Drosophila melanogaster: one gene and its partner. Changing the gene in region 1 together with any one later gene gives a genetic interaction. Each region holds a gene or a part of one and is shown on either strand. Other genes may lie near its edges.

What was found.
Region 2: of Nepl5 (region 1) and Trf2, changing one suppresses a phenotype caused by changing the other (phenotypic suppression), as found in Drosophila melanogaster (one study listed by BioGRID).

What each region holds. Positions count from the first base shown.
Region 1 is NT_033779.5:6,375,312-6,391,212, reverse strand, and holds Nepl5 (Neprilysin-like 5), read right to left. Parts: upstream 9,948-15,901; 5' UTR 9,916-9,947; coding exon 7,861-9,915; 3' UTR 7,794-7,860; downstream 1-7,793. Other genes in the region: Nepl6 (Neprilysin-like 6), read left to right, coding at 5,701-7,668; DIP-epsilon (Dpr-interacting protein epsilon), read left to right, coding at 1-85, 4,966-5,124, 5,182-5,310, 5,379-5,529, 10,423-10,565, 11,933-12,103, 12,186-12,373; slam (slow as molasses), read right to left, coding at 14,049-15,839.
Region 2 is NC_004354.4:8,401,073-8,417,229, reverse strand, and holds the start of Trf2 (TATA box binding protein-related factor 2), read right to left. Parts: upstream 7,959-16,157; 5' UTR 7,866-7,958; exon of another isoform or gene 7,478-7,865; coding exon of another isoform or gene 7,256-7,477; exon of another isoform or gene 6,949-7,255; 5' UTR 6,541-6,948; exon of another isoform or gene 5,572-6,540; intron 1-5,571. Other genes in the region: lawc (leg arista wing complex), read left to right, coding at 7,256-7,477; PIG-T (phosphatidylinositol glycan anchor biosynthesis class T), read left to right, coding at 10,261-10,435, 10,644-12,370; CG10555 (uncharacterized protein), read right to left, coding at 14,666-16,157.

The DNA of each region.
Region 1 (15,901 bases):
GTCCAGGAGGAGGACAGGGGCCGATACATGTGCCAAATCAATACGGTTACGGCCAAGACCCAGTATGGATTTGTCAAAGTAGTGGGTAAGTCTTCGCTATGGTCCTACCATGTCCTTTGCATTTTTCATTTCATTTGCCAAATCTGTCGGCGGATATTAGTTTTTTTTTAGTCCCTTTTCGACCCTACTCTACTTTTGAGAACTACATGGATATGCGTGATCCATCATGTTCGAATCCAAAACTCTGGAAATAACTTAACAAACAATATTAAAAACCAATATAATTATAAAGATCCTTAAAAAGAATGGACAAACTACAAGGAAGTGCTGGAATTTGGGAACAAGTTCCGCCTTTCAAGTTGACAAATCAACATCATCCGGCTACCGAACGGCACTGGCACACATCCACATCCACATCCTATTCCACAGAAGCCTTCATTGCCTCCTGCAGGGTCGAATGGGCATGGGCAATGGGCAATGGGAAATGGGAAATGGGCGTGCCTCGGTCCATTCGCATAAATCAGTTTTTGTGGCAAAACTTGAAAAATATGTGCGCAAACAAATGGCAACGGACGATGAAGTGAAATGGACGGGGAGAATCAGCAGGCAGTCCGTGCAACAGTTTGGGCCCAAAGTACCACAGTGGCAACACACACACATACAGACACAAGGGACACATGCAGACACAGAAACATACACAGGCACAGACATCGCATGGAAATGCAAGGACACATATGCTGCACATAGTAGGATTTGGGCTTAGGTTATTTTTCGAAGGAGAAGACTCGGCAACGCCGTCTGTCGTGACTGGTAACACCCATTACTGAAACTTAATGAATTCTTCTGATTCCTCTTTGTATTATTCCCTTAACGTAAAGTAAGGTAACTTATTTTTTAATCATATGAGTCAAGCTGTTCCTTACTTCAAGTTTTTAAGGCTAAGTGTAAGGACTCTCTTTTAAATTTGTTAAATATTCACAAATATACTATACTATAATCTTATCACTCATGACACAAAATACACTTCTATAATGGGTTTCTTTAAGAACTATAAAAAATTGTATCAAAGTTTCGTGACTACGCAGAGCAATTTTTCAAAAATCACAAAAGACAGTAATCCCCATTTAAATTCGATTAAATCTCGTTGACAAATTAAAAGTGCAGCATCGAGTGTAAGCCAGATTCCGGTTGATCACACTTTTTGCCTGGGCCAAGTAATGAAACTTTGTTAAGCCTAATTTCCCAGGCCAATTTAAATCGCATATTGGGGTTCATGCGGCGTACGCCCTTAAAACTTTTGCAGGTATGAAAATGGCTGCGGCATATTTTAACCATTTTTTGTTGCCTGCCTTACACATTTGTGGCTCGTTTTGTTGCCTCTGTCCAGAGCGACCAGAGCTGTCATAGTTGCATTTTTTGTGTTTTTCTTTTTTTTTTTGGTTCTGGTAAATTTGGCTTGCATTTTTGCCGTCCCAGAACTTTTGCCACATCAGCGTGTGGCAAGGATACATACATATGTGTGTGTGTATCTGTGTGGATGATAACGTGCGTGAGTATGAGTGCCGCAAAAAACACACAAAAAATGGCGACAACGACAGCCAGAGTTGGCCAGAAAGGGTTAACCGGAAAAAATTGTTAACAGTTACAGTCGCTCTGGTCACGCCGCATCAAATGGCCAAGACGCGTGCTGCGTGTTATATGAGCATTTTACAGCACCGACGCCTGCTTAACGACTTTTTAAAAGGCATAAGGCATAAAACCGCAGGAATAGCAGAAACAATTGTCTCTTCGAAGCTTTTCAGGCCGGTTTAATGGACAGATTTTGGGCCTTTTGCCTTGTAAGTCGTACTTCCTAAATCCGGCTTAGTTGGGATCAAAATTGGGCCGTCAATTGCCTGAAAACGGATCCATAAAAGATCGCATATTGCATCATTCAAATAAAATCAAACAATTTTAATTTACATAACAAATCGAATTAATTGCTATAAAACTAAATGGTGCGCACTGGTCTAAATAAAAATCGGAAACGCCAAACTGGCGCACCTCGATTTAACAAAACTAAACAAGAGGAACGATTTAGTTAGATCGCGTCGAATAACAGATACCTGCTACTCTGTAAACTGAATGCGTGTGAATTTCAAGCAAATTTCTGTATTTTTCAGTGATTTTGGACACAAACTTTATTGCATTGGTTTTGGAAAGCTTAATCTATCTATTTATGTATGTATAGTTATTTTCAAAATAGCCAACATACTCCAACTAGTAACAGGTATGCTGTATGCGAAAGAAAAACGCAATAAAAACATAACATACTCTTAATTACATTTAGCGACAAACATAAAACGAAATTAAAATGATGCATTTGTCGTGCGTATATTGAGGGGGGGAAAACAAACGTGAAAACGTTGTCGGGCAAATGAGTAAATAAATAAATTTATTTTTGGTAGTGCAACATTTGTGAATTTAATTTGCTGACTCGAATGCGATGCGCGGAATAAAATCCACAGACATCACGGAGGCTACGCAGAAATTTGTGGCTTGAGCATGCAAAAACAAACATTAAATGCGCCCGAATTTATGGCCCATGCACACAGAATGCATTTAAATGCGCCAGCGATGGCGATGGCGTTGGTGATGCCGATGGCAGCCTGCTGTTGTCCATCCTCTGATGCTGTGCCGCCTGATGCAAACTGGGCACGGAGCATCAGGAGCAGCAGGAGCAGCAGCAGGACCCCCATAGTTGCTCCCCTTTTTTCCCGCCAAATTACCGCACATTGCGAAAGTAGCAGCAAATGCAGCTTGTAACCGAAGCAAAATAACAAACACCAACAATTACGAGCTGGACGGGAATGGGCACGAGGATGTGGATGTGGATACGGGGTGTTCTTTGCGCGTCTGCCGCATACATATATTCTCATTTATGTTCACATAATGAGGCCATTTATTAAATTCAATTATTTTGTTGACATCGGTGCGGTACGAAAGCAATATTACAATGTGCTAAGGTAACAAATAACAGAAATAGCCGCTAAACTGGGAGCCACAAAATAGGCAACAGTATCCAATGGACATTACCTTAACCTGGTCATAAGCTACTGTATAGAACTGTCAAAATTTATATTAAATTTAAACTGAAAAGTACTGAAAATAAAACAAGATACTAAATATTAAAAAACGGCAAATTAAAATGAATTATTCTTGTCTAATGCCATTATCGTTTTAAGCTAGCAAAAAAAGATAAATAACTAAAAACTTTCCAAACACATCAATTAAAAAGTTTATAAGGATTTTGCAGCGCATGATGGTCTTGCTAAGCGAAGTGCTAAGCCAAAAACACCAATTGACGCATTATGTAATAAGCGATAGAAATTCGTGTCCAGCACTTGCACCACTAATTAAATTTCACATGCACATATGTATGTCGAGAAAGAAAGTTTCTTGGTTTAGGGTCCAAAGTTTGCGCAATGTCGGCAGCTGCTAAAAATATCAATAAGAAACTAATATGTCAAAAGCAAAGGGAACAACATCTGCTGGGTCACCAAGTTGGGCCACCACTTTTTTTTTTCATCCTGGTGCTGTCCTGGATCTGTCCTGGTTTGTCCGGCGATTAGCACATCAAGCGTTTATTAATAGCATGAAATAAAGCTTTGGCAAAAAGTTTTTTGGTCATTATTGGGCATGAGAAAAGAAAAGGTAAAAGGGCGAAACTTTTGAAAAGTTTTTTCTTTTAATTACGCTTTTTTCCCCCTACGGTTACCATAGTGCTCGGATGGGAAAAGTTGAAACAGGGGTTTTTCCTTATGAAAGGCAACTTTCTACGACGACAAGATAACCTGGCCATTAATGTTAATCCCCACGATGCAATGATACGCGAACAATATATGTATATATATATTTATAGCCCCGTGGCCTCCAGTTCCATCAATTAAAAACGTGTGCCGAAAACCAGACATTTGCTGACCCGACTGCCATTGATTAGCTGTCCAATTCAGAATGAATGGCGACAGGTCACTGCAAATACGTGACCTGTCATGGAAGACCTGGCCTTGACCCCCGGAAAATTGCAGGAGCAAATAAAATTTATGATTTTTTGTTGGAATGGAAAACTGCATTTCAGGCAACTTTAGAAATTTATAAAAAAAAACAACTGTCAAAGCTAACAAATGTACACAACTAACACAGCTCCAACTACCAACTCCAAGTTCTGGTAAACACTCCATTTAAATAAGATACATTTGAAAAAGAATGGTAATTTATCGCAGCTAACTTCGGGTTGGAACCAGTGTGCATTGCCAGATATTAAGCCAGTGCGGTATGCTGTCCATTCCATGACCTTTTCCATGCTTCCCTGTGATTTGCATAGATTTTTCATTAAAGATTTTCTGGGATTTTCGACCAAATACAAAAGAGTTTCCCGGAAGATTGAAAAAATCCCTCAAACAAAGTGAATGGCAAGGGAAGTGAAACCTGATGACAACTTGATGAAGGTTGCCGCATCGATTTTTGAATTAACAGAATGATTCCTTATTTCGCCAGGAGCAACGGATTTCAAACGGACTTCAAATCTGAATCTGGATGCAAAGCTAATTAGGCTTAAAGTTACGCAGTGACTGTGAGTAGAACAAGAACTCACTGGGGAGTGAGCGCATTGGAGTCAACAATGCGTGAAATGTTCCTTTTTTTTCCACTTCCTAACTGCCTTGGGGAAGTCCAACTTGTCTGGGGGTAGCTTTGATAAGCCAGTTATTAGCATTACAAGTGCTTCTCTTTGAAAGGGTATTCCCATGTCTCTGTAGTCCTAGGAGTGTTTTTCACCGGTTTCCGCTTTCTTGGCAACGACATTTACATGAAAGTGGAACTTTTCACTTCTGTCCTTTGCATTTAAATCGAGCTTTGCACGGTTCCGTGTAGTTTTTGGGTAAAATACTCTCCTAATGTCCGCCTCTCGCTCTCTCCATCCAATAGTGCCGCCGAATATAGACGACGCTCTGACCTCCAGTGACATCATCGTGCGCGAGGGCGATAACGTTACGCTACGCTGCAAGGCGAAAGGTAGTCCGGAGCCGACCATCAAATGGAAACGCGATGACGGCAACAAAATCGTTATTAACAAGACGCTCGAGGGTGAGTCCAATCCTTAGACCAGCCTCTGGCTTGCCATTTACCCAGAAATGATTGCAGTGCACGACTTGGAGACGGATTCCCTGGAGCTGGAGCGGATTTCGCGACTGCACATGGGCGCCTACCTGTGCATCGCATCGAATGGTGTGCCGCCAAGTGTGTCCAAGCGGATCAAAGTCAGCGTGGACTGTAAGTCAATTGATATCCGGACTTAGTTGGGTTTTCTTATATTCATATATATATATATTTCGTTTCAGTTTCGCCCATGGTCTGGATACCGCATCAGCTGGTGGGTATTCCCATTGGATTCAACATCACCCTGGAATGCTTCATCGAGGCGAATCCGACCTCACTTAACTATTGGACGCGCGAAAACGATCAAATGATCACTGAGTCATCAAAGTACAAGTAAGTTGAAGTCATCGTGCTATTGTCTTTTCACCTCTCGATTGAGGATGTTTTGGGTTATCTCTTGGCTGGATTATCAGCTGTGGGCACATTATATTTCGCTGATATGTCGACGTTCCGCGGCCAGTCGCTTCCAGCAATCTGGGATCTCGGCTCAGTTTGCTGTCTGCGATGTGGTTGATTGCCTGCCTGTTTATTGTTCCTATTTGCGCTGCTCCAACAACCCAGAATGTCGAGGCGGATCCCAATTCACGGCTAATGAACAACATCCTCAGCTACGTGGCGGAGGATTCCAGTGCGTGCGGCACCTACTTTCAATATGCCTGCGGCAAGTACGCAGTACGTCACCGCGACGATCCCTTCACGGAGATCATCCAGATGCTGGACCACAAGGTGAACGGAAACCTAGTCCAACTGATGCACGAGCTGCACCAGCGCTCCCAGTCACCCGGCTTCAACGAGTCCAGTGTGGAGGCCAAGGTCTTGCACTTCTACCGCACCTGCCGTGAAGCTCCGCCGAGTACACGCAAGATGGAGCACTACCTTAGACTAGCCCCTCCTGGCCAGGCACTTACATGGCCCCAGTTTATGCCCCGCGGCGAGCCATGGCCAAAGGCTCAATTCAAGTGGATGAAGTCCTTGGGACACCTATACCGCTATGGGTTTACCAATGTTTTGGTGAACGTGTTGGTCTTACGGAGCTCTGAGAACAGTAACCGCTTCCGACTGGACATCAGTATGCCTAGTCTCGAAGGGGACGCGCAGCACCTGGGCGGTTTTCTAAGTACCCTCGCCACTCTCCAGATCATTGGTGTGCCGACGAAAAGCATATTACCCCTTGTGCGGAAGATCAGAAGGCTAGAGTCCGCCATACGCGTCCTAACCGAAGTGGACGACGATGATGAAAGCGAGACTTGGACTTTGCGCCAGTGGGAGTACAAAACCGGCTACGCATGGCAGGGTTTCGTCGAGTCAATAGTTGGCCATAGTGTCTCACATCACTACGTGATGCAGGCGCAGAATGCAAAGTACTTCACGGGCCTTAAGCGGCTGATGGACTCCACGGACGCCGAGGTGGTGGCCAACTACATCATGACCCGATTCGTGCTCTACCTCATAGACGACTTTATTGACAGCAATGAGCACATTGATTGCGTCACGGATATGCGCCGCAACATGAATCTGGCATCGAACCTGCTCTACAAGGAGCGCTTCCTGGACCCTGCGACACTACAGCAGTACACCCAGGAAGTTACGAAGGTCTTTGAACAGCTGCGCCGGCAGTTTCTACTGCAAATCAATGAGAATCGCCTTGGGCTAACCAGTGAGCAGAACAGTATGGTTGCCACAAAAGCTCAGCATGTCGTTCTCAATATTGGGAATTTGCCAAGAGGTCGTGACCATCGTAGCTTTGTCAGCCGGCACTATGAGGATCTTGTCTTTCCGCTCCCTGATTTCGACTACGCACGTGAACATCTTAACCTGCTGGAGTTCCGCACCAGAAAGCAGGTTTTACAACTTAACCAAAGTGCTCCGACACCCGATGAGTTCTTCTACTTGTCGGATCCTAAAACGGCCATGAGCTCCGGACCCTACTACCTAATGCGACTAAACATCATCGTTGTGCCACACGGACTTCTACAGGAGCCATTCTTTGCAGCGGATAGCCACGACATATTCAAGTACAGCCTGTTGGGATTCGTACTTGCCCATGAGTTGATGCACTCAGTCGACACCGTGGGTCTTTATTATGACAGATATGGGAACATACACGAAATCGGACCGCAGATATCCAGTTCGCCACGCTTTGTGGCGGGTTTACAGTGCCTGAACCGGAACAGTACACAGTATCTGGACGAGCGTATTGCAGACATTGCTGGACTGGATCTGGCCTATTCCACCTACTTCCAGAACAGCTCGCAAATGAGTCTAACCGATTTTACGACCATTCCGCCGCAACAAATCTTCTTCCTCAATCTGGCACAGTTCTTCTGCGGCGATGGTGATCCAATAAACTTCGTTGGTCACGACAACGACGAGACGCGTCTGCAGCAAATGCTCAATGGGTTCGCGCCGTTTCACGAAGCTTTTGGTTGTCCAGCAAAGAGCAATCAGCCTGAAAAGTGCCAACTGTGGTAACTGGATTCAAGTAGTGCTTGAAATCTACTAGTGTATAAAACTATATTAAACAATAAACTAGATGGATCTGAAAAGAGTTCACTACCCCATCGAGTTACTCACTCACATTTAAAAAACTCTTCGTTAGGTGAGATTTTATTTATTCATCACTGGATCCTGCCATGTCCTGTGGGAGAGATGGAAAGAGAACTATTACCAGATGCGGCACCGCTGGCTGGCCTGCATCTTGGCCTTCTTATCGCACCCGAACTCCCTAGAGAACTCTTCAAAATTGGCCAGCGTCTGCATCACACGCAACTCATCCGCGGCGTGCTTCAAATGAGCCTCCGACTGAGATCGCGGACTGAGCACGGGCGTCCGGCCGCAAAAGAACTGGGCGAAGGTGATGAAGAATAGCTGCCGCTGGCTGAACTGCGGCAGCAGAGGATCCCTGGGCTCCCGCTTGTCCCGCACCCCGAAAAAGGTCTCATACGCTAGACGCAGAGCCACAAAGTCGGCCAGCTTTTCGTCGATCCACTTGGAACCGGTGGCCATCTGTTGCTGAAGACACTGGAGTCCTTGTCGGAACTGACGGCTAGCGCCGATCTCCTCCACGGGCCCCATGATGTTTCCCATGGCGTCGTAGTCCATTCCCAACATATCGAATCCGTGTGCCAGCTCGTGGGCCAGGACAAATCCCATCACGGCGTGCTGCTGCAGGGCGCTAATGTTTCGATGCCAGATGGGCAGCTGGAGCAGACCGTGCGGCACCAGGACCAGATTGCGTGGTCTCACATACAGGGGCGACGAGTTGCTGGCCTCCCAGCTTTCCGACAGGTAACTCAAGTTGCTCCCCGTGGAATTTGCGAAGTTTGTCACATTTATGTAAAGCAGATCGTGGTTCGCCTCAACGCGTTGTCGCAGCAAGACCAGCTGGTTGCCATAGAAGGAGTGGCCGCTCAGGTCGATGCGGACGTGGTACTGCTCCACATCCTCAATTTCCTCCGTCTGAAAGAAGCCCATCTGCAGTCGAACTGCGCGCAGTTTCTGCTGCAGGATGTGCACCAGTGGTGGCGATAGTCTCATTCGGTTCTCAGCCAAGATTTGGCCAAATCGCACCTTCAAACGCTGGAACAGTGAGCTTACGTAGGATTCGGATTCCGGATCGGAGAACTGCTGACCCACCAGCCAGCTACTGGCCAGAGGCATGGCTCTTCTGAGGGCGGCCACGCACTCACCTCGTGAGATGTCCGCGGGTCCCTGTTGCTTGAGGAAGGCCAACCACTTGAGCATGATGTAGCTGCAAACGGTGTCCGGGCTCTCCGATTCCATCAGATCGCTCAGGGCCCTGAGGTACGGAATATTCTCGATGATTAATGTGGAGCGCAGATCCAGCTCGGAGTCAATGCGTACCTGGCGCATGAAGGATAACCATCGTAGCTGTGGCAGGTACGAGTCCAAGTAACCAAGCTGCATTTCTCGTGGTCCTTCGTCGTCCTCCAGCTCCTGCAGGCGGTGCAATTTTCGTTCGAAGTCGTCCACCTGGCGAGCCAAGGCATTGGCCGTTCGCTTTGTCTGCCCAATGTCCAGAAGCAGCTCGATCATGGCACCTTCTCCCATGGGCTGCGTCTCCTGGCGACTCGGCTTGTTCACATAGATACTGTAGTTGCGAGAGTCATCCCATCGCGGCAGTACCTCCTCCCGCAGCAGCACCCCGTTCAGTCCGTGCAGACGCAGTCGCCCCAAGGTCGTTATCCAGTCGAACCGCTCCGGACGCCAGCCCCGACCCACCGATGGCCACTGCGTGGAGTTGCTGGGGGGCAGGAGCTGCAGGTACTTCTTGAGGTTGTACGGCTTAAGGCGTTTGCACGAACGGTAGTAGAGTCGCATCTGCTCCAGAATCGAGGAGTCCGACTCGAAGGAGCTCTCATTCCTTCGCCGCAGCAGCAGCTCCAGCTTCCGATTCACGGAGTGGTCTATCAGTCCCAGGGTGTCGGTGGGCAGCATCTGACCCTGGTACCGCTGCCGATCCCTCGTCCAATCTCTGTCGCGCAGGGAGTGCTGCTCCTGCTGCTGGATCTGCCAGTTGCCGCAGGCGTACTGGTAGAAGTTCTCGCAGGGACGCGCCTTCGTATCCATGTAGCTTTGCAGCTGCTCGGCCAGCATTTCCTGAACGCTCTGGGGTGCGTTGGTCTGGCGACAGGCGGTGGGCGTGGTGCGCCAAGCCAGCGAAAATATGAGCCAGGCCACTAGGCTTAGCTTCAGCATGATGGTTTCGACTGTGACAAATTGCAACTGGCCGGACTACGATTTGCCCGGATCGCGGAGACTGCGGACTAGAGCAGGCCCATCGCCTGTCAGTCATCATCGTGGGAGGAGCAGTGGATCCTAGCTATATATACACACCCAGTACTTGACCACTTGACCTTTCTATTTTCAGGCAAAGGTGATAATTAACAAAAATGCTTTAATAGGTTCAAAGTTCGAAGAACATGATCCTAGAACGTACTTTATACCCCATTTGGTGGCATATTCTTCAAAGCATTAAACACTCGTAAGATATTATAATATTTGACTTTAAATTGGATCTTCAGTACCTGGAGCCACTGTACTTTGTAGGCTAGGTCGCATTTTGATTAGACATAAGTGCGCGCTTATCAGTTTCACCTTGGCCTTGATACCCGATTGTGGGCTGTTGTGGAACTGACCCACAATGAGCACAATGGCTGTCATTGAACTTGCCTCACGCTGATGCCTCCGTCTCTCCACTTTCAGAACCGAAACCATTCCCGGCCATCCGTCGTACAAGGCGACCATGCGGCTCACGATTACCAACGTTCAGAGCAGCGATTATGGCAACTACAAGTGCGTCGCCAAAAATCCTCGGGGCGACATGGACGGCAACATAAAGCTGTACAGTAAGTGACTAGGCTATATGTGTTATTTATACCCTTTGATATTGCGCCACTGTCATAGGCAAATGTATATGTACACCCCTTTTTAAATGGGCGCCAGTATTTTGGGGGGTCTTTAAACTTGAAACTCCGACAGTTCCTTGATTCCAAAGGAAGCAGATTGTACTGTTCATTTTATCAGGATTTTTGGTGCCCAAATACTTTTTAATATACAGCAAGATTAGATTTTGATATTTAATAAGGAAATGACGCGTTTAATTTGTCTCACCGACGTTTTTCTTCATATCCTTGCCGCCGTCAACGGGGCGTATGCGCAATCCTCACAACCGGCAATTAGAGCCACTGTAGTGTCAATAAAGTGTCAATATTGTGTCAATTTGCTAAATTACTCCCCAGTCACTGTTTGGGCCATTAAAGCTCAGCTCGGCAGCAGCGATTCCGATTACAAAAGTTCATAAAACAAAATAAAATGCCCGCTTGTTGGTGGTGAGGTTGTGAGGTGGTGACAAGAGCCCAACGCCACCAAGAATGGCGAATGTGAAAAGACAACTTAATTTATATATACACGGTTTTCATTCTGCTGCCACAACAATGGCCTGTGTAGCCCATCGAAAAGTGGGCGTCATTCTACCAATTAAAGGTAACAATGGCCGCATCGATAATAGAAGGGGCAGCTCCGACAATGAGAACAATGAACCTGTGACAATTTTATTGAGTGGTCAGGAGGCGATACAGTCGCAGAAAGGCGACATCAACCAGGCATTGGAGTGGGCTATAGTTTCGTGATTCCCAGCCGAGGCAAGGCCAAGTGTCAAGCCCAATAAATTTCCTCTACAAATTGTCTTCAATAATGCCAACGGAGGGCAGCCAGCCGAGAAAAGGAACCGAGAGTTGTTAATCCTCCCCGGGGAGATGGCCAAGAAATTGAAAAGAATCGGGGGGGAAGGGCGGGCAAAAGGGATTGCACTGAATTTACGATGGCTGATAAGTGAAGACAATGCGGCTGGGTAACCGAAAATATCTGTTTAGAAATCGAGCAAAGGAGTTTCGGCACTGATGGGGCGCACATTTTTGGGGCAGGACTGGCTTATAACTCACAGTTAATTTAAGTTGTTTATGGATTGTTTCCGATTGAGCAATCCACTTTTGTTCGGTACCGTTTTTTGGCGCAGACATCACGCTCTTACCCCTTATTTTAATTACTACACTGACAGAAAGTAGATAAAATAATGCAAAAAAAATGTATAAAAGAAAAAGGATTCATTTCTGACATGTAGCGTTACACTTCCTTTAAAGTTCCACTTTGCGATAGCTTCTATTTATTGAATTATTTCTACCACTCATGTACGCCAATATTTCTCTACGTGTAGTGTCGAGTCCGCCGACAACACAACCGCCGCCCACAACCACAACGCTGCGGCGGACGACAACAACCGCGGCGGAAATCGCACTGGACGGCTACATCAACACGCCCCTGAATGGCAATGGCATTGGCATTGTGGGCGAAGGACCCACAAATTCGGTGATTGCGTCCGGCAAATGTGAGTAGTGCCCAAAAAATGCATAGGATGTTGATGTTGGCAGAACAAATGAACACGTTGCACTTTTCATTATCAATTGCAGCGAGCATTAAATACCTATCGAATCTGAACGAGATCGACAAGTCGAAGCAGAAGCTGACGGGCAGCAGTCCCAAGGGATTCGATTGGTCCAAGGGCAAGAGCAGCGGGAGTCATGGCAACCTAATGGCGTCCAGTTGGCCCCTCATCTGCTGCATCCTCGCACTGCTGACGACACACTCGTGTGGTTGAGAACTATGTGCGATTCCATTTTAATAAAGTGCCATTACAAACAGTCGAAATGAAAGGTGTTCGAAGCCGATGCATACGATTAGCCATAACAACTGTGTAATTAATTAAGCGAATTGCAATTTGCAAACGTTAACGAAGTCAAGCTTTGGTTTTCCCCGAAACTCCCTATGCAGCCCATTAATATTTGATTACGTTTGGTGGCGAAAACCACAGCGTGTTTTTAGGCAAACAAAGTTACCAAATTAATCAACCTCGCATATTTGTTTACCATTCGTTCGGAAGCACTCTAAAATATTTTCTAAAAATTCGTTTGGTTTTAAAACCACTATACCATCGGTGAGGGTATGCGAAGAATGTTGTAAAAAGCATTTCGGCAGGGCCAAAGCAAACATGCGATGCAAACCAAAGCACATAAATCCTGGTTAGTTAGATATAAAATCAATTAATTTGCATAAATACAAGTGGGAAAAAATAGTATACCCTTCGAATGATGCCAAATTGTTAAAAAGAGAGCACTACTCACTCACCTCCAACTGTAAATAAGCGCGTATATGCATGGATAAAACCCCAAATGCAATTGTAAATTATGTACTCGTTATAGGCACTAGAAATGAATGTTCATTTGTACGAGAGTAGGCATCAAACCATTTCAAAACTAGATATTTAACGGGAAAGCGAAAGGCTTAAATACTCTGAAAAACAGGCACCTAAAATGCATTAATCAAAAACCATTAACCTAAATAAGTAACTAAGCAAATATGAATTACGAATATTCACGATTGAAGCGAAAACTGTTGATACATAATTTAGTTAGCTGATCAGTTAAGACGGGTTTACAGTTGAGAAATAATCCAAATAAAGCCAAATCCAAATATGTAAGTTCTAAACTACTCATACAGAAATACATATATATATATATATTTAAATACCTACATATATCATAGGCCTTAGTTTGTGTTTCTTAACGATAAGAGTGATAATGTATATTTATTAACTTGCTCCCCGAGCGGAACAAACTGGCACTGCGAAAGAAACAAATAAAATATCTATGTATTTGGGATTGCTTCTTAAAACTTAAGCGACTTTTATTTCAGTAATCTGTGGTTCTTGATATTGACCAGTGGTACTTGTGCAAAAATATAACTATTATTTTTTATTTGAAAGTCAAAAGAATGTCGACGGGACTTTTATTTTATGTTGAACAAGTAACCATTTATTGCATTAATAGTTAGTACTTTTCTCTGATACCATGTTTGCGCAGCACTTTTGCACGTGAAATTGTTATTGAACCGAACCCAGCAACTCCTTTTGGCCCCAAACGGATTCCCTTGGCCACTGGATGTGCACTAACATGGTATCCTTGGCCAGGAATGTCTGAAGTTGATGCAACAGGAGCATTTGCTTGATGAGAGCAAGAAAAAGAAACCATGTGCTTGCAGGAAACGTGATGCTTGCCAGACTCCTACGTGTCTGCAGGATAGCAAGGAGCTATGCCCTCCAGAACCCCTGATTTTGTTGGACTCTGCATGCCCAAGGAAATACACTGAATGGCTTTAACTTTTCTCTTTAAAGTTTATTATCTAAAATCTTTGTAACATTATATGTTAATGTCTAGGAACTAATTGTTTATAAAATCTTAAAATAAAGTCAGATCCCGATGAGGTAGCACCATCGCTCAGACCTCCACGGCCCTCCGGTCCATCAGGGTGTCGAGAATCTTGTCCATGTGCTCGCTGCAGTTGGCCAGGCACACATCCGCATACTCGCTGAGGAAGTACATGAAGCTCTCGAGCTGCTCCATCGAGCAGCCGCGGAAGCCATCGTCGCGTCCAATGTTGTCAATGGCCCGGATGATGGAGCGCAGCTTGTGGACATATTGCGGCGTGTTGCGGCAGTGCTCCAGCGAAGAGTCGGCCAGATTCGCGGGCTTGGCGTAGCCACGAATGCGCTGCTCCACACTGCGAAGTTTGGACTGCTGCTGCTTGAGGGTCTGCATCATTTGCGGCACGGACATGGCGGGTGTGGCGGCAGAGGGAGGAGCCTTGGCAAACAGCTCGTCCAGGGGAACCGCCTCGTAGTCCAGGGAGAAGAGATCAGGCGAAAAGGACAGCCTACCACTGTTGTTGCCGAAGCTATCGGACTCGAACTCCGTCTGATCCAGGTCGCTGGTCTTGATCGCCTGGTTGGCACTGATGCTGCTGTTGGGCCAGGAGTACTTGCTGCGACCCTCCAGGCCATTGCTGGCACCTGTCTGCAGACCCACCAGTATGCTGTAGCTGCTCTCGATGGAATACTTCTGGGTGGTGGGCCAGAACTCAGGCACGCTGCTGAACTCAATGTGGTCAACGCCGAAGCGCAACTCCGACTGCTCTCCGCTGAGGAAGGCAAACAGCCGCTCGATCTTCTCGCTGGACATCAGTTTTCCGCTGAAGGGCACTGCGAGATCTCCGCTGGCGAACCAATAGTGAGAGCAGCCCTTCACACTGGGTGGACGCTCGGGCAGCGACTGTCGGACGGAGTCGGAACTGGGAGCTCCGCGAATGAACTTGTGTCCGTCGATTCCGAAGGCCAGGTCACGAGTCTCCCAGCTTTTCTGGGTGAAGATTTCGTACAGCAGTCGCAGGCGCTCCGGGCTGTTCTTGAAGATTTCCAGGGAGACTGTGAAGTCCCCAGAGGTGATCCAGAACATTGAGTGCGCCTTGCCGGTCGGACTCTCATCCTGGGAGTTATCAATTTCAACAGTCGGGGCATTGGCGAAGAACTCCCGCTCACTGCACGGTGTGGAGGGTGAGCTGGAGGTGGCGTCCAGATCGAGCGGATGATCCTCCCGGATCACTTGCATGGCCAGGGAACTGCGACGAGGGCGCTCCTGGATGAGAATCGGACTGAACAGTTGTTGTTGCGCCGGACTGGAAGCATGGCGTCCCTTAACTGGCGTGGAAAAACCGGATGGCTTCGATTCCGTGGCTCCAAGCGAAGATCGGCGTATCGGACTGTTGTCCATCGGATCGTTCGAGCATGTCTCAAAGCCCTGATCCACGAAACTGTCCCGCATGGCCTGTACCAGGGATTGCCTTGGTGTCTGACTAGGAGACTGATCGCTGTCTGCATTCGGCGAGGGAGATGACATCACGGTGAGGGTGTATGCCGACTTGATCTTCCGGGGCGAGTTCAAGTGGCGCATCAGTGACTTATCCAACTCAATGAAACTTGGCTCGGGCATTGGAAGTGGGTTACAGATAGCACCGGACTTCTTCTTGGCCGCTCCTGATAGCGGAGGCTTGTAATCTGAATCGGAGTCCGTTGAGGTTATTGCAGTGGCCTCGACAATGGAGTTCTCCTTTTTCCATGTAAGAGTTCGGCGCATTTTCTTCTTGCGTGGCGGACGCTGGGGCTTGGCAAAATCAAATTCACCTGTCTGCAAGTCATCCTTGGGCGTCTCTGGCTGGGATTCGTCGCTGGTTATCTGTGATAGAAAATTAAGAACAATGAGTCAACATTCATGAATCCACTTATTAAAGATATCAC
Region 2 (16,157 bases), on another chromosome or scaffold:
TGACAGGTTCCAAATGGAAATGTCAATGTAAGGACTTACAGAAAAGTCAAAGGCAACTTGATGGGCATTATTAAATTTTTGAAATTTTGACCTGGAATTTCTTTCTTTTTGCTAATGGGAAAATCAGATTTTGGCTAGACTTTCGCATCATAACCGGTTTTCTTCCATGGTCTGTTGCACTACTATTGTGACCGCTGTTGTTCTTTGTATCTAAAAAACCAGAGGGGAGCACAAAATGGGTTGACAATTGCCTGGGACAGCGAAACAGAAACATTCATATCCAAAAACCAAGACCCGGAGAGCGGAAATGCTGCGTGCACGAGAAATCAACGAGCTCTACAAAAATCCCATTACCAAGATAGATAAACAAACACCCCATGTATGTATGTATGTATGTATATATGCATGTATATACACCCATCACGAATCTATATGTACATTTATATGCTTAACTGCATGAATACATAATTTGTTCACTGCACTTAGTCGACAGCGTATGACTCAATATGATAAACAAAAAATAAGAATATTATAACAATTTCTAGAGAGTACGTGCCAGTGTTGAAAACGACATGCTCCATATTAGATATTCAAGAATGTCCCATGGAGAAAAGGGCAATAACAGTAAATATAAAAGACAACCCCGAAATCGTTGGACGCCCCTAAGTCATTGAACTGGTATATTCTTTTTTGCCAAGTGCCTAACCTTCTCCCCTTTTCTTTTAAACGCTCCTCCTTTGCACAAAAGCGAAGAAGAGACGCCAAGAAGAAGAAAGCAAAGAAGCAGACAAGCAACAAAAACCAAGTCGATGACATGTCCTACACAAAAAAAAAAGACTAGCCACTATGGGATTGCAGACGGAGTCAGCTGGCGATTTGTTATTATTTACCGTTATTTCGTGAGGGCAAACGGGGGGTAGCAAACTGGAGAATCGCTGAGAAGAGAGCAACTTCAAGGCCCCCAGACAAGGGTAATGAATTGTAATTCCTAAATACCCTACATTTTCGGGTATAACTTAAGACTGGTCTATGTAAACTCTAAGGCACTGAATATACAGTGATTTTGTTCAACTGACAAATGAAAATGTCATTATTAGGACTTACAGAAAAGTTAAAGGCAACATTTATTGAATTTTTAGGAATTGTATTCATCAAAAGGAGAATAAAAAAATATTTTCTAGGTGTGCTGAAAATACAAATTAACATTTCCATGTGTGTACAACTTGCCTGCTCACTCTGGGTCACGATATTAGCACCACTAACACAAGTTTTCGATAAAAAAAATCTTTTTTTAATAACTTGTGTTCTTCTTTTATTTTATTTTTTTGTTTTTTTATGCACTGCTTTTTTGCTCCGTATAGCTCAATCGATTTAGTTCAACTGATTTTTTTCACCTGACTTGTCAGGCTTCAAATGAAGTGTCATTTATTAGGACTGAAAGAAAAGTTAAAGGCAACTTGATTGGCATTTTAGAATTTTTGGAAATTTTGGTCATTTTGCTAATGGGAAATTTTTGGGTAGACTTTCGTATCATAACCAGGTTTCTTCCATGGACTCTTGCACTATTGTTGTGACCGCTACTGTTCTTTGTATTTAAAAACCAGAGGGAAGCTACAACATGGGTTTACAATTGACTGGGACAGCGAAATAGAACCATCCACATCCATATTAGCACATAACCATATAACACCATATTAGCATATAATAAAAACCCCAATTAAATTATAGAGTATTTGGAAGTTGTCACACATTATAAAGGCAACACCAAAAGCAGGATAATGAAATCAATACACTCAACGGGTGAGGGGGGATCAAGCGAAAAGTTCGGGGAGTTAGTTGGGGGATTTCGTGGCTGTCTGGCGAGACAGGATAAAAAGTCAGACGGAAAGGAAATTAGCTTTTATCGCTGACCTTGCTGCTACTGTTCGTTGTTCGTGAAAAGCGAAGTATATGTACATATGTATGTACGTACAAAGATACATTGGTATGTGTAAATATATGAGCAGATATTTATAAATACGTAGTGGCATTGCTGTTGGCATAAACCATGTGCTAATTGATTGCGTTTTGCCTAAACTGCTAACTCGCTGTAACCACAATGCGTGTGTTTGACCAACAACTAATAAAAAATATAGTACATATGTATGTATGTACATATGTACGTATTCATGTGCATACATTCGTATGTACGAACTTATAAAATTGAGCTCCTTGGCAATGAGTTCAACCGTAAAACACTGTCTCAAGAACAGCAATATTTGTAATAGGACATTATGAAAAACATTATAAACCACTGTGACTGCGATTTGAGTGCCTCCTTGTAATTTTATTTTCATTGTGCTTCATTTAAAAATACAAATACAACTTTTTGCGTGTTAATCAATTAAAGCAATATACATACATATGTACATACAGACACATACATACATATGTGTACATTTACATACATTTATAGCTTTAGGCTGGGTTGTAGTTTTTTATTGGCTGACGTCAGAGAAGTGATAAAATACTTAGCAAAATTTAATGGTTAATCCTTCAGTGCTTACGCATTACACTTTGGGAAAAAGGGGGTCAAGCTGAATAAAAGGCATGTGGATGACACACTTATTTCTCTCTCTGTCCAAGATTTCGATTCTCTTTTGCGCTGGTGTTCTGCCGTGGAAGAAGACGCCACAAAGAAAGCGACCACAGCGAAGGCGCAAAAAATTTACAGTTATGCGGAGGAAAGTAAAAGTCGAAATCAATGAATTTGTATTGTTTGTTTTGAAATGTATGCGAAATGAGTAAAAAAAAATCATTGAGAAGAAAACAAAACGAAAAAAGCCGAAACAAGGTTGTTTTTGTACGTCAAAAATTCGCTTGCTTACATTATTGAATATGTACGAAAACATAGATATAGATACACATATACATATGTACATATTCATATGTTTGCAAATTTGATAGTTCCAGACTTTAAACTAATATTTTTTACAACAGCCATCCCGCTCACACAAGCAAGTTAAATTTACCGTTGCTCATTTTCATCTTAGTTCTTATTTTTTCTGCTCATTTTAATTGCCCACTAAAAAGAAGCAATAATAACAACAGGTTGATGAAGATGAGAAACGAAAGAAGTGACAAAAAAAGGCAAGAGAGGGAAAAAGAAAGAGAGTGGAAGTCGAGAGCAGAGAGAAACAGCATTGAAATATTTCCAGCCCAAAATAAACAAATGGTTTGAATTCGAAATCAATTATCAAGCAGAAAAATTGGTAGTGGCTTATCGCCTTATCACAATTACTTTAAAGTCATTTGTTTTTCTAACTCAGACCTTCCCCCTTTTACCGCCATCCAGCGAGTATGGAAAGAAAGAAACCAATGAAATACAGTGGAATTTCGCAGTTAATGTACATACATGCATGTACACACACATACATACATACATATAAATTAAAGTACTCCGTGGTTTGTTTATAGTTTTTATTTGCAATCTCTGCTGATTTTCCCCCTTATATTCTTTTTTCATGCTCCATTTAAAAAAGAATACATATTTGCATTTATTGCAATCACTGCCAATTATTAACTGCTTATGCTCGTTTTCCAGCAGAAACCAACAAACACAAGCAAAGTGAGCACAACAAGTTCATCTAATGACGTCATGTCGCTTTAATGTAAAAATGTCAGGCACTTGAAACAATTTTGTTTCTGTGCCGACGCTTTTCCGACGACTGCCAGCGAACTGGGTCAATATCTTAATTAATTTTAATGGGCTTAATTTAAAGGCAAAGGAAGCGAGCACTAACAAAGTTACATCAATCATTTGCGTATTTCAATCGGTCGGAAAATGGGGGGAACAAAAGGGGTTAAGCCAATGCTTTTTGTTCTACTTTTGGAAAATGCGACCGCAGAGAAGGAAAAGTCGCACTTACTTTTAATATTACAAACCAAAAGAGTAGCCAGACCAGTAAATAATGAAACAAACATTAACAATTACTAGGATGAGCTTGATTCTTAAAATTCGTAATACAATAACGGCAATCTCTTTGGTTTATAGTGTGTATGTACATGTATGTACATACATATGTAAATGCGTAATGTTTACATATTATGGCAGGTGTTTACTTTTCTTAATGAGGGATAACGGAATCGGAATCTCTGGGTCGCCGCACATTCTACAGATAATTAAATAAAAAGGGCGTGAAACCAAAACAAGGCTTAGAAATACTACAAGCTGATACAGATACACCCAACCAGCACACACACATACACTAGAATTTAGCGATAACAACAAAATGCGGGCAACTTATTTATGCAGAAACAGTGAGAAAGAGCGAGAGGAGGGAGAGCATGAGATGATCAAGCCGGAAGTAAGGTTTTAAGAAAGAAGAGGAGTGTAACAGATTCATTTAACAGTAACAACAACAGCGATCGCTTACAGGTAGGGCATATGAAAGGTAGACAAACGAGAGACAGAAGAGCAAGGGTGGAAGGGAGAACTGCAAACTGCGATTTATTTAGGGATGTCTCTGTGTGCGCGCACTCATATGCACGTGCATTTGCATGTGTATTTGTGCCAGTCTGACCTCGTTGGCAAACTAAAAAAAATAATATTAAAGAGCATGAAAAAGTGTGGAACATGGCAGAGCGAATGAAGGCGGAAAAAAAGCCGCACCTAAAAAATCTATTACATCACTAGGGAAAATTGACACAAGTATTAGACATTTACATACACGCACACACAGAACCGTAAGCGTTTAAAGCGCACAAGTGTGTGCGTGAGTAAGCATGCTGAAAACGGAAGCGAATTGAGCATTGAAAAATACACTCATTTTGACCCCTTAAACATGTGAAATCCAATCAAAAGAGATAAGATAGTGGGGAAACAACATTATATGAACGACCACCAATGAAGGCTAAATACAGAGGTGGTCAAAAATACTTCAATACTGTAAATACTTTTGACCACCTCTGTATTTCAGCTAGTCATTGTATAATAGAATATGTTGAAAATGAGAAATATTCATTGATTTGTCTAAAATGTACGAAAGTGGCAAAAATCACATACATAAGTACTTGTTACTTTGAAAACAATATTTCTCCTATAGTTAACAGCGTATACCTGAAAGAAACCCTACAAAAAATATGATAAAATGCTTAAAAACCCACTCAATTTAACATTTGTGGGGGAAAACTTAAGCTATGCCGCAACAAAACCATAACTTGCGGAAACTACAAGTGCAAAAATGTACAAATATCGAGTAAAAACTGCCTAAAACCCCTCGTAAAATGATAAAATATCCAAACTAAATGAAATTTACGAACGAAGAGCAACATAAAAAATACAATCTAAGCCCATGGGCGACTACAACTACAACTGCTAGAAACTTCTTTTCAAAGGAAAGAAAAATCATTGAAATTATTCCCCGAAAACGAGAGCGAGACGGAGAGCGGCCGGCGACAAAGCGACAAGTGAGCGTGAGGCGAATTCAAGAGCCCAATACTCGCTCACACTCGCTTGGTTAACTTGGCGTGGGGACGTCGACGTCGGCAGCGTAGCGAAGTTTGTTGAAATTTTGAATGTGTGACAACGCGGTTCAGTCTGCCGCCAGCGCGGCCCGAAGCAGTGGTCTGTTACAAAAGTATATTACGATTTGCTGGCGAACACTCATCCACTGACTAACTCTCCCCCTCACCCTTTCGCCTTGTGGCTCTGGCTGCCCTGCCGCTGTTAGCGCTTTCATGTTAACGCACACTGTTAGATGGCGAATTCGATGCGAAAGGATAAAGATTTGCCGCTGGGGCAGCGAAAAAGAGAGAAAAAACACAGTGGGCAAGTGGTGCACTTTCCATAGAAGAGTGTTCCAATGTGCCCATTGTAAACCAACGATACTTTCTTACTATGACTTGTTCCACACAGCTCTGGGCCAAGAAAAGTAACTAGGAGCAAAAGAAGCAGCCCCGCGTGATGTCAGACGTCAGCCCGCCCACAAAACACACTCGAAAGGATTGAAAAATGCAGACATTTTTGTTTGGTTTTTAGCAACTCTCTTTTTTTTTTTTTGTTAATGTTTATTGGTTTCTTTTACGCACCGCTGAAATGTTAATAACAGCCCTCGTTACTGTTAAATGTTCACACTCTCTCTCTCTCATTTATTTCTTTGTGGTTTCAATGAAAGTGAGCTACAAAGCTGCAAATCGAAATTCGTAATGATTTTGAATTGATTGGACTTTTTGGACGAGAATTAGGAAAGGCGTTTGATTCTTAGTGGGGTGAACAAAGAAATATACAACTGAATAAAATATATATGAAATTTATGGAAAACGAGTTATGAAATGAGAGCGAGAGCTAGAGGAAGTGTGCGAGGGAGAGAGAGAGCAAGTTACATTATTTGCTTTGGCATTTCTTGGTACGTACGATTCGTACGATTTTCACTTAAAACTAGACTAGGCGTACAAGATGTGTTAACTATAGATACCACAAAATACAACTAAAACGAAATTCGAAGGGGGTAAAGAAAGAAAAATCAAAAGGTAAAAAGAATGAAATGAAAAAATTATCACCTTTTTTTGTGTAGTAGGTCGTCGTCTAGCTCTCCCTCCCTCTCACGATCTCTTTTGTGGCTGTGTTGCTGTCGCTGCCGCTACTCGCTCTCCCGCCTGCTCTCACTCTATATCGCTGCTGCGCTGTCTCTCTATTTATCTCTCTTTCTATCCCGTTGCCTTGCAGCGGAGCTCTGCTGCCGTCTCGCTTGCACTTGGGCTCCGCTGCTTTGCTTCAGCCGCTGAATTCGCAGTTAAGTTTTCGCTGCTCTCTGTGTCTCTTTCTGCTGCTGCTTTTGTGGTTCTTATGTTTTTGTTTTCGATTCGGATTGTAGAATCTTTTGGATTTTGCACACTTTTGGTTGATATTTCTTTAGGTTTCTCTTTGTTTTTTTTTTTTTTGGCTTGTGATCTTTTTTAGTTAAAACTCTAAACTGAGACAGGGGAGGAAAACAATGAGGGTTCGTCTAAATTTGGAGCAAGCAAGTCACACACAGCCAGGCGCGGCGGCGAATTCGGGCATATCGACTCGAGTTGCGGCGAGAGCGAACGCGGCGAACAACGGACAACACTGTGGCATTGGCAATGGCAGCGCTTGTCGCCCGCCTTCACTTCAGTGTGTGAGTCGCGATAAACGCGAGCGAAACGGGCGGCGCAACTGAAATCGCGTACCGACTGGCGCAGACACGCACACCACCGCACAACAGCGCGTATACGTATACGGGCGAGAGAGCGCATGCTCTCCGCCACACACACGCGGTCAACGTTTTCTCCGCTTTGTGGCGCCGCGCAAGTTTTGTCGCAGCAGCAAACACGCAATAAAAGTTCAAAAACAGTTGAAGTATACCGCGACGCGAGTAAAAATCTTTCCTTCGACGTCGTCTCTGTTCGTTGTAGTAGTTGTTGTTGCTGCTGTTGTTCTTGTTGCTGCTACTGCCGCTGCTTAACGTTTCTATAGTGTGTTCCGTTCCGCGAATTCTCATGTGCATTTATGAAGATATACATATATATATATATACATATATCTGCATATATGACTGACCAAAAGGTAAAACAACGGCAACAAATAAAAACAGTATACAAATTGTTGTCAAATATAGTGATAAAAAGAACCCCCACCCGCGGTAGTTCGATCGCTGTTTTGTTTAAATTAATCTGCATATCATGTTGTGCGGCGGCTGCATTTCATTTATTTTTTGCTCGCTGAAGAAGAACTTGCTTGCTCCAAAAGAATTAACAAAAAAAAATATATCTGCGTTTCGGCGCTGCGTCGACGGCATTGTTATTTCGTTCGTATTGTTGTTAAGTGTGAGTAGTAGTAGTAGTTGTTGTTGTTGTTTCGCTACCAGAGCTGAATAATGTAGTTGACCAAAAATTTTGAGAGCACAAGTCTGAGCACACACGATACGTCTTCTTCGTTTGGCCGTTTCACTTTGAGCAGCGTGACCGTGGTGCGTCGCTATAATATGCCCCGCGAGCCGTGTGCGTATGCACTAACGCGTGCGGTAGAATGCCGCGAAAAAATACTAAAAAAAAATCCAAACCGAATACCATGTGGTGGAAACGGACTCGCGCGTTGCATTTGCTGCACTTTCCCGTTTAAATATATTTACCCGTTTGATTATAAGATAAGGGTTACATTTTGTGCAAATATACGCTTGCCAATGTTTTTGAAAAGTAATATAAACAATTTTATGGTGCGCAGACAGCAGAAAAAATATGCTGCAAAAATACCAACTTGCTGGCTATCAGAGACTCGAACCTTCTAGTGCAAATCAGCTGTGATCGATGTTTTTTTCCATTAAATTGGCACGTTTATTTAAAATTGTTTATGCATTTAGTTTAGGTACATGAATGTTACATGGGACTTTTACAGAGTGGCTAAAACATATATACATACAATATATACATATACAACAATTTGAATTGCAGATTCTCCACCGCTCTGGATATGCGAACAAAGTCCTTAGCTGCAGCGACATTAGTTTAAATTTCAAGCCGGCTATCGCATGGTGATTCCACCTGCACGTGCAAAGCGCGACTGTGGATATCGCAGGACGAGAGTCGCGTCTTCTCCTGCGAGGAGCAACTGCATCATAATCATAGCCACAGATTGAAAAGACCGAAAGCAGATGCAAGCTCAACGACAGGACTAAGAATCGGAAGCAAAACTTCCCCAAAGCAATGGCACAGTAAGTAGACAAGTGCTGCGCTTTCAAGAAGATGAGCACTTTAATCAAAACCATTTCGAAATTCTTGTTTAGATACACCCGGAAACGCAAAAGAAAGAAATTTAAAGAGCTGAAAGCCCCGTGGACTTCATGTAAGCTGCTTACAATAAGCTGCCTTTTTAGATGCACTAAAAAAAAACTACTTTTGCTTATAGGAACCCAGGTGCAACAAATAATTTCAAGGAGAAGATGTTTTTGTGGTCAAAAACGTGCAGATGACTTCTAAGAAGTTGGAAAATCATGTATTTACTCGGAAAGAAGCCAGAACTGAAGTAGCATACTTATTAGTATTATCAAATGATGAGTTTTTTCATCATAGTTTTAGTTCTATATTTATAGAAAAAAAAAACTTTCCTTGTTACTTTTAGTTTTTTCATTTGAAAGACTGCCGTTGACTTTTTCATTTTATTCGCGTGCATATTAAATATGTGTGTTAAATATACATAATAATAAATGATCGCTGTGTTTATGCACTTGCTTTGTTTTCACTCTTTATTTATTTATATTTATTCTTTTTGATTAACTATAGATTGTTTTAAAAAGGTATAAACGACGTTTAAAATTTTTATCCTGGACATAAACCAATGATTAAGCGGTGTTCCACACCCATGAGTATTATGTAGTATTTTTCACAGTATATACGGTATATAAAACGGTCAGCCAGAAAACGGTCTGTCTAATCGTTAATTTCTATGTTAATAAAATTTGAGTATTAAAATACATCGAAAGTGCAGTTTTTTTTTGTCCACTTTTTCCTTTATTTCTAACTTTTCACTAAGAATTCCAATAAATTGTTTTATCTTTCTCTCGATTCCCTATTCCTTCTTTCGCTGTCCGAGCATTATTTGTTATACCTTATTCGCGTTTTCTCTTTGGGTGTACGCCAAATTTTTGGCGGGCTCACGATTCCGTAAGATTGCAGCTACTTTATTTCGCTTTTTCCTTTATTACTCACTTTTGATGATGCTCGATTTTGGCGCGCTTTCTCATTTATGGTGCTTTAGTTGTAAGCCCAACTCGTGGATGTGGTGGATTTTTTGCTTTGGTACAAATTCTTTTTAACAGACTTCTCAGCGATAACGCATTTGACAATTATATTTTGAATCAAATGCACGTTACAAACAATAACATGTGTGACCAATGTAACGTTATCGATAACGTATCCCACAAGTTATACAACACTGCTAGGCAGCACTTTCCAGCCCTGGAAAAATACCAAGACATCTACCATCTCTCTAAAAACGAAAACATCAAAGATTTACTACACCAAATTAAAATAAACTTATAAATCTTTGCAACCTTAAGTCCGTGGCAATTTCCATTTTGCATTTCCATATCCGGCTGGCCAAATAATTCCACGACATTTACGGATGTCGCGGTAACCTAAACACAAAAAAAATAAATAAATATAAATAAAATAAAATAAAATACATTAAAACGGATCATCAGCTGTCGTTAGAACCGAAACGGACTAAGGGCGGAGGAACTGGCACTGAACCTATGGGCCAGCATGTATCCGGTGGCGTTTGTCTTGCTGCTGCTGGTTGCACCTAATGCCGACGCGAATTTGGGACGCGATGACGAACGATTCCACGAGGAGCTAGTGGTTCGTCCATTGTCCGGCGACCATGTCAACACCTACTTTCAGTTCACCACGCGCTGGCACTACGGCGAAAAGGATAATCGTGAGTTTTTTCAGCGGCCGAAGTCCGCATCATTGCGATTGCAAAAATGGGGCGGGAATCTCACCCACCGGCATACGAAAATACAGGCCATTGCATGCCGAAAGGTGTTCCTACATATATGTATACATATGCGCCCCATTGAAGCATCATTAGAACTTCTGGTTAACCGATTAAATGCTTATATTGTGTCTACCATTTGCTCTTTCAGTTTACCACACCCAATTGACGCCTCGAGTAATTGCGGAGCTGTTGCAGCAGTTTGCGGTAAAGGAGCTGCACATTGGCCTAACCCAGGGACTGTGGCGCTACGAGACATGGGGCTATCCCATTGTGGAGGCCACCAGCGGTGCCGAGATGTGGGCGTGGTTCAGTGGCGCAAATTTGACCAACCGGGATGTGGATCGCCAGTGGAAGGAGTTGGCCAACGTTTTCTCGGGCGTGTTGTGCGCCTCGTTGAATTTCGTCGACAATACGAATAGCATTGCACCGAGGCACTTGATTCGTCCACAATTTATGCCAGCCAATGGCCAAAGATTCGTTCGCTATGCCACATTGCCGCGTGAGATCGTGTGCACGGAGAATCTGACGCCGTGGAAGAAACTACTGCCATGCGGTAGTGCCTCAGGCTTTGCCTCACTTCTCAACTCGGGACATGTACACAACACCAAATACCATTCGCTGGGCCTGAAGGTGCGCGTGCTCTGCGAGGATCACGATGAGGACAATTGCATTGTGGAGCTGACGCAGACGGCCAACTTGGTCTACGATCTCCGTCTGTTCGAATTGAGCAACAATGATTTCTCGCTGCGCCGCCTGTTCGGCATGGGACTGAATGGCTATTGTGAGCTGGCCGAGAGCTCCAAGATCTATGTGCAGCGCAACGAGCTGGGCGAGCGCTATCAGCTGGTTCCAGAACCCGTGCACGAAGTGAAGACCACTCGTGGTGGGCATAGTGTCGTCTATTCCGTCTACGATATGCACGAGCAGTTCAAAGAGGCCGGCGAACGGCTGTTTAATGTCGCCTGGCTGGCGCCGAAGAGCGCAAATCGTCGTCGCAATTTGGCGAAGCCATCACTGCCACCGGTGACGGTTCATCGTTATCTATTGGGACACGGCCAGGAGCGTGGCAGGATCGTTACGGAGGTGACGAACTCGCACTACGACGCCCTGCCCATAATGCTGCAGGAGGTGATACCGTGGTATGTGCACGCCTATTTGCACACCCTTTCCATACGTCGCAAGCCGCAGCGGGTCAACGAATACGGAGGCCAGCGATTGACCTTCAAGCTGCTCCACTATACGCCCGGCAAGCAGAGGGAACTGCCGTCCCATTTGGAAATTGGCTTCATGCTGCCCGGCCAGACATCGGCGCTGATAAGCATCGATGTGGATTATTTGCTGCTCAAATGGTTGGAGTATCCGCCGGATGCGAATCACGGCCATTACATCGGCTCGGCCATTGTGTCCAGCCAACTGCCGATGGGCAGAAACTATACCGCTCTGCCGCCGGAGGGGCATCTCTTTGAGCATTCGTTCAATGCCACACGTCCGAGTTATGTTCTCAGTTTGCACACGGAAGCGCTGATTGTCTCACTGCCCACGCCGGACTTTAGCATGCCGTACAATGTGATCTGTCTCGCATGCACAGTGGTTGCCCTGGCCTTTGGACCCATACACAGTGTGGCCACCAAGATGATCATTGTCGGTCGTCAGACATCGGCGCCGAAGAATTTTGTTAAGAAGATCTTCAATCAGCTTTTCCGGCGCGGCAAGGCCACCGATGAGACAGCTGCCGAGGGCGAAGGATTGCCAGCGGCAGGAGCAGCAGCAACTGGAGTTGCATCGGGGAGAGCAGCGATATCGCCAGGCAGTCCATCGGGCGACCAGCCGCTGCTGGAAGATCTCGACGAGGAGGAGGAGGAGGAGCAGGACTAGGAGGTGATACAAAAAAACAGCCATCGGGAGTCGTGATAAGCTCCCACTGATAGTATACCCTTACAATTCCAATAAAGTATATTCACAAGGATACCAAACTGGGTTGCAATTCTCGATTTTTAAGTTATTTCAATTTATTTCGGGGGTTTTCAAAAACAGTATTTTCAGTTATTTTGCTAAGAAAAATCAAAGAAATCGCCATGGGATTTCTATATATATTGTAGATGAAATATGTATAAACAATGTAAGAATGAGAATTGCAAAGTATACTTTTAGCTTTTTAGAAAGCTAACCAAATTTGTAACGAAATAAACAAAGTGAAAATGCACGTTTTGTTTTTATAACTTTTTCGATTTTGTTTTTATTTTGCATTTCGAAAATAGAAATTTCTAAATGCTATTTGATAAACATATATCAAAATGTCTCGATGTGAATGCTGAAATAATCGGTATATGGAATCAGATTATATCAGATCGGATTAGAGCAGCGCAGAAATAGCCAGACTCTTAATTAGAGCGAGAAAGATTCTATGTGCCTAGTGGAACTTTTGGAAATACGTAACGATTTCAGTTTCAATTTTTTTTTTTGTTTTTTACCTTGCTAGCGAGTTGCGTTAAATGTTGTCCAAATTTTTTAGCTCTTAGATTTAGATTTTAACTAATCTTACATAATTTTGCATATTTAATAAATAATTTAGATATCAATTTGAAACTCTCTAAAGTGCAAGCAAATAATTGTAATAATCGTTAACAGCACTTACATAAAGTATTTCATTTTAAATTTCAATTATAGTTAAAATTAATCTTGTTTTAGGATTATTGGCATTTATATGTATCTGCGTTGGCATAGAGAGTGTTCACTGTACACTGCTCGTCCTCCGTTTGCTCAAAATTTCCAATGCATTCGCCTTTTTGTTTAACTTTAAATTTAAGATTTATTCATGATTTGCGCTTGCTATTTATAGTTTTTAGTTTAACTTTAAATAGTAAATGTAAGCTTATCGTATAAATATATATTGGCTTTTACAAATTACAATCTTTCGCTGCAAAAAAAATAAACTTTTGGAAGAAATCGGGAAAATGGATACCGAGGATAATTAAATGTAAAATTGCTACACAAAAAAAAATGCACAAACATTAAAATAACAGACTAAAACAGACAGACAAAAAGACAAACGCAAAAATACAAAATACACATATATATAGTTAAAATATTTAGGTCATTAATTTAGGGTTTAAAACACGCACTATTATTCTGCTGCTCCATCGTCCTCTTCCCTACACTTAAGTATATTAATATATGTATATGTATAAATCGTTTAGAATAATCGTTTTCAAAGGGGAGCGGAACCTACTTAAAAGAGAGAATTAATAATATATAAATATATATATGTATAATAGGATGGATCGATTGCTATGGATTGATTGGATATTCCCAGAAATGGGCGGCGTAATCCATAAGCAATTACAAGCAAAAAAAACTGGGGTAATTCTTTGAAGACCCATCATGTATTTGATATAGCTATAGAATCCATATAGACTACACCAGCCCATTGCCCATGCAAGTGATTCGTCACTAAGCTCAAAACTTGAGCAATCCCGAGTAATCGATCCATCCATTTTGTTTTGCATTTTTTGGGCCTAGGACACGATTTCTTGTTCGCTTGCGCATCTTAATCAGCTTACTTAGTTCTAGATCGCTTCTTCACTACGTGTTTGCTTTCCATTCTTTTGTTCTAGTTCTACGCTTTCCGGTTCATTTTCTCGCCTGCTACTTGCTTCTGCTATTTATCACCGAATTTAAAAAAAAACTGCCTGCAACTTTCGTACAGTTCAGTTCGAAATTCGAGGAATTCGCTGCTTGAATGTGGGAATCCTGAATTTCCATCTCGTCTTCATTTCTCATTCGTCGTTCTTTTCGCCTACTTTAAGTCTTATGCTTACTCGTCCGTCTTCTATCCGTAATCCTACTACTTATAATCCATCTTCATCTACCGCGTCTTCCACACACTTAGCTCTAATCGTAGTCCTCTCCTCCGCCTTCATGCTCATGCTCCTCCATGCTGCTGTGCCGATACAATTCTTAATCATATGCCTAGTGTAACGCAATCTGCTTCGTCTGCTCCTTTGTTGTCGTCCAGTTATGCTATTACTCGCGCTGCATCACCTCCTTCTCCATCGATGATCGGCCTGTAGATCCCAATCTCCTCTCCACCTTCAACCAGCGAATCTCAGTCGAGAATTACTTGTTGTGGAGACAGCCAGGTGGCAGCGGCGGTAATAGGCTGTCCCTTCCTCATTGGGGCGGCTGTTGGCTATAATATCCGTATGCGCCGGTTGGTGGTGGACCCTGTGGTGCTCCTGGCGGCGGCATCTGTGCGCCGGCGGGCCTATAGCCCTGATAGCCCTGCGTCGGCGGATACTGTGCATAGCCACCGGCCTGAGGTGGCTGATGGTAAGCGTGGCCAGGATACGCGCTACCCGGCGGCGGTGGTCCATACGCCTGTGGTGGTGGCGGTCCACCGTATGGTCCTTGTGGTGCGCCCGGTGCCGGCTGGTATTGATTCGGTGGCATCGGCGGTGTGGCTCCATTCGGAGGCGGTTGCTGATTGCCCTGTCCCTGGGCATTTGGTGCTCCTCCGCCGCCGGCGGATCCGCCAGCCGATGGCGGTGTCTGTTGTTGTTGTTGCTGCTGCTGCTGCTGTTGTTGCTGTTGCTGATTGGGCGGCGGCGGAGCTCCTGGCTGCTGATTGTAATTGCCAGGCGTCGAGTAAGTGGGCTGGACTTGCGTGGGCAGCGGCGCAACGCCGGAAACCACTACACCCGGTGGCTGTTGCTGCTGCGGTTGTTGTTGCGGTGGTCCCGCATACTGCTGACCAGCTCCGCCAGGTCCGCTGGGCCCCGCTCCGCCACCAGCTCCGCCCTGCGGCGGCGGCGTCGATTGCTGTGCATTGGGTCCGTTTGGATTGTTGTTGCCACCGCCTGCTCCGCCGCCTCCCTGTGGCGGTGGCGTCTGACTGGGCGCCGTGGTGCTGTACGCTCCGCCCGGCGGTGGTGGTGGCGCTGCCCCGCTAGTCGGCGGTCCACCCGGATAGCTACTGCCCGGCGGTGCACCTGCTCCGCCACCAGCGGCCGCTTGCTGCTGCTGCTGCTGTTGATACGCCTGATAGGGACTCTGGGCGCTGCTCGTGGGTGGTGGTGGCGGCCAGTAGCCACTGGGCGGTGGTCCACCGCCAGCACCAGCCTGGCCATACTGTCCCGGATTCGGCGGATAGCCCGCATAGCCCATCGGAGGCGGTCCACCGGCGGAGTTCTGCGGCGGCGGCGGACCGTATTGACTTTGCGGCGGTCCAGGTGGCGGTTGCTGCTGGCCACCAGTCGGCGGCTGTCCGGGTGGCGGTGGTCCCGGCGGCGGTTGCTGTTGTCCCGGCACCGGTGGAACTTGCTGGCTACCGGGCGGCGGTGGATATGCACCCGGCGGTGGTCCTTGTCCGGCTCCGGCATTCGGCTGATAGCCATGCCCACTGGCTCCCGTCGCCGCACCGGCCGGACCATGATGGTAGCCACCTTGAGCGGCATTTGGTGGTCCCGGCGGCGGTGGCCCATAGCCCTGTGTTGGCGGTCCATAGGGATAGGCGCCCTGCGGCTGGTACTGCGTCTGCGGCTGTGGCGGATAGCCTGGATAGTGGCTGTGCTGCTGCTGTTGCTGTTGATAGCTGACGCGATACGGACTCTGTGGCGGCGGTACACCTGGTCCGCCGGCACCTGGCTGCGGTCCTGGTCCGCCG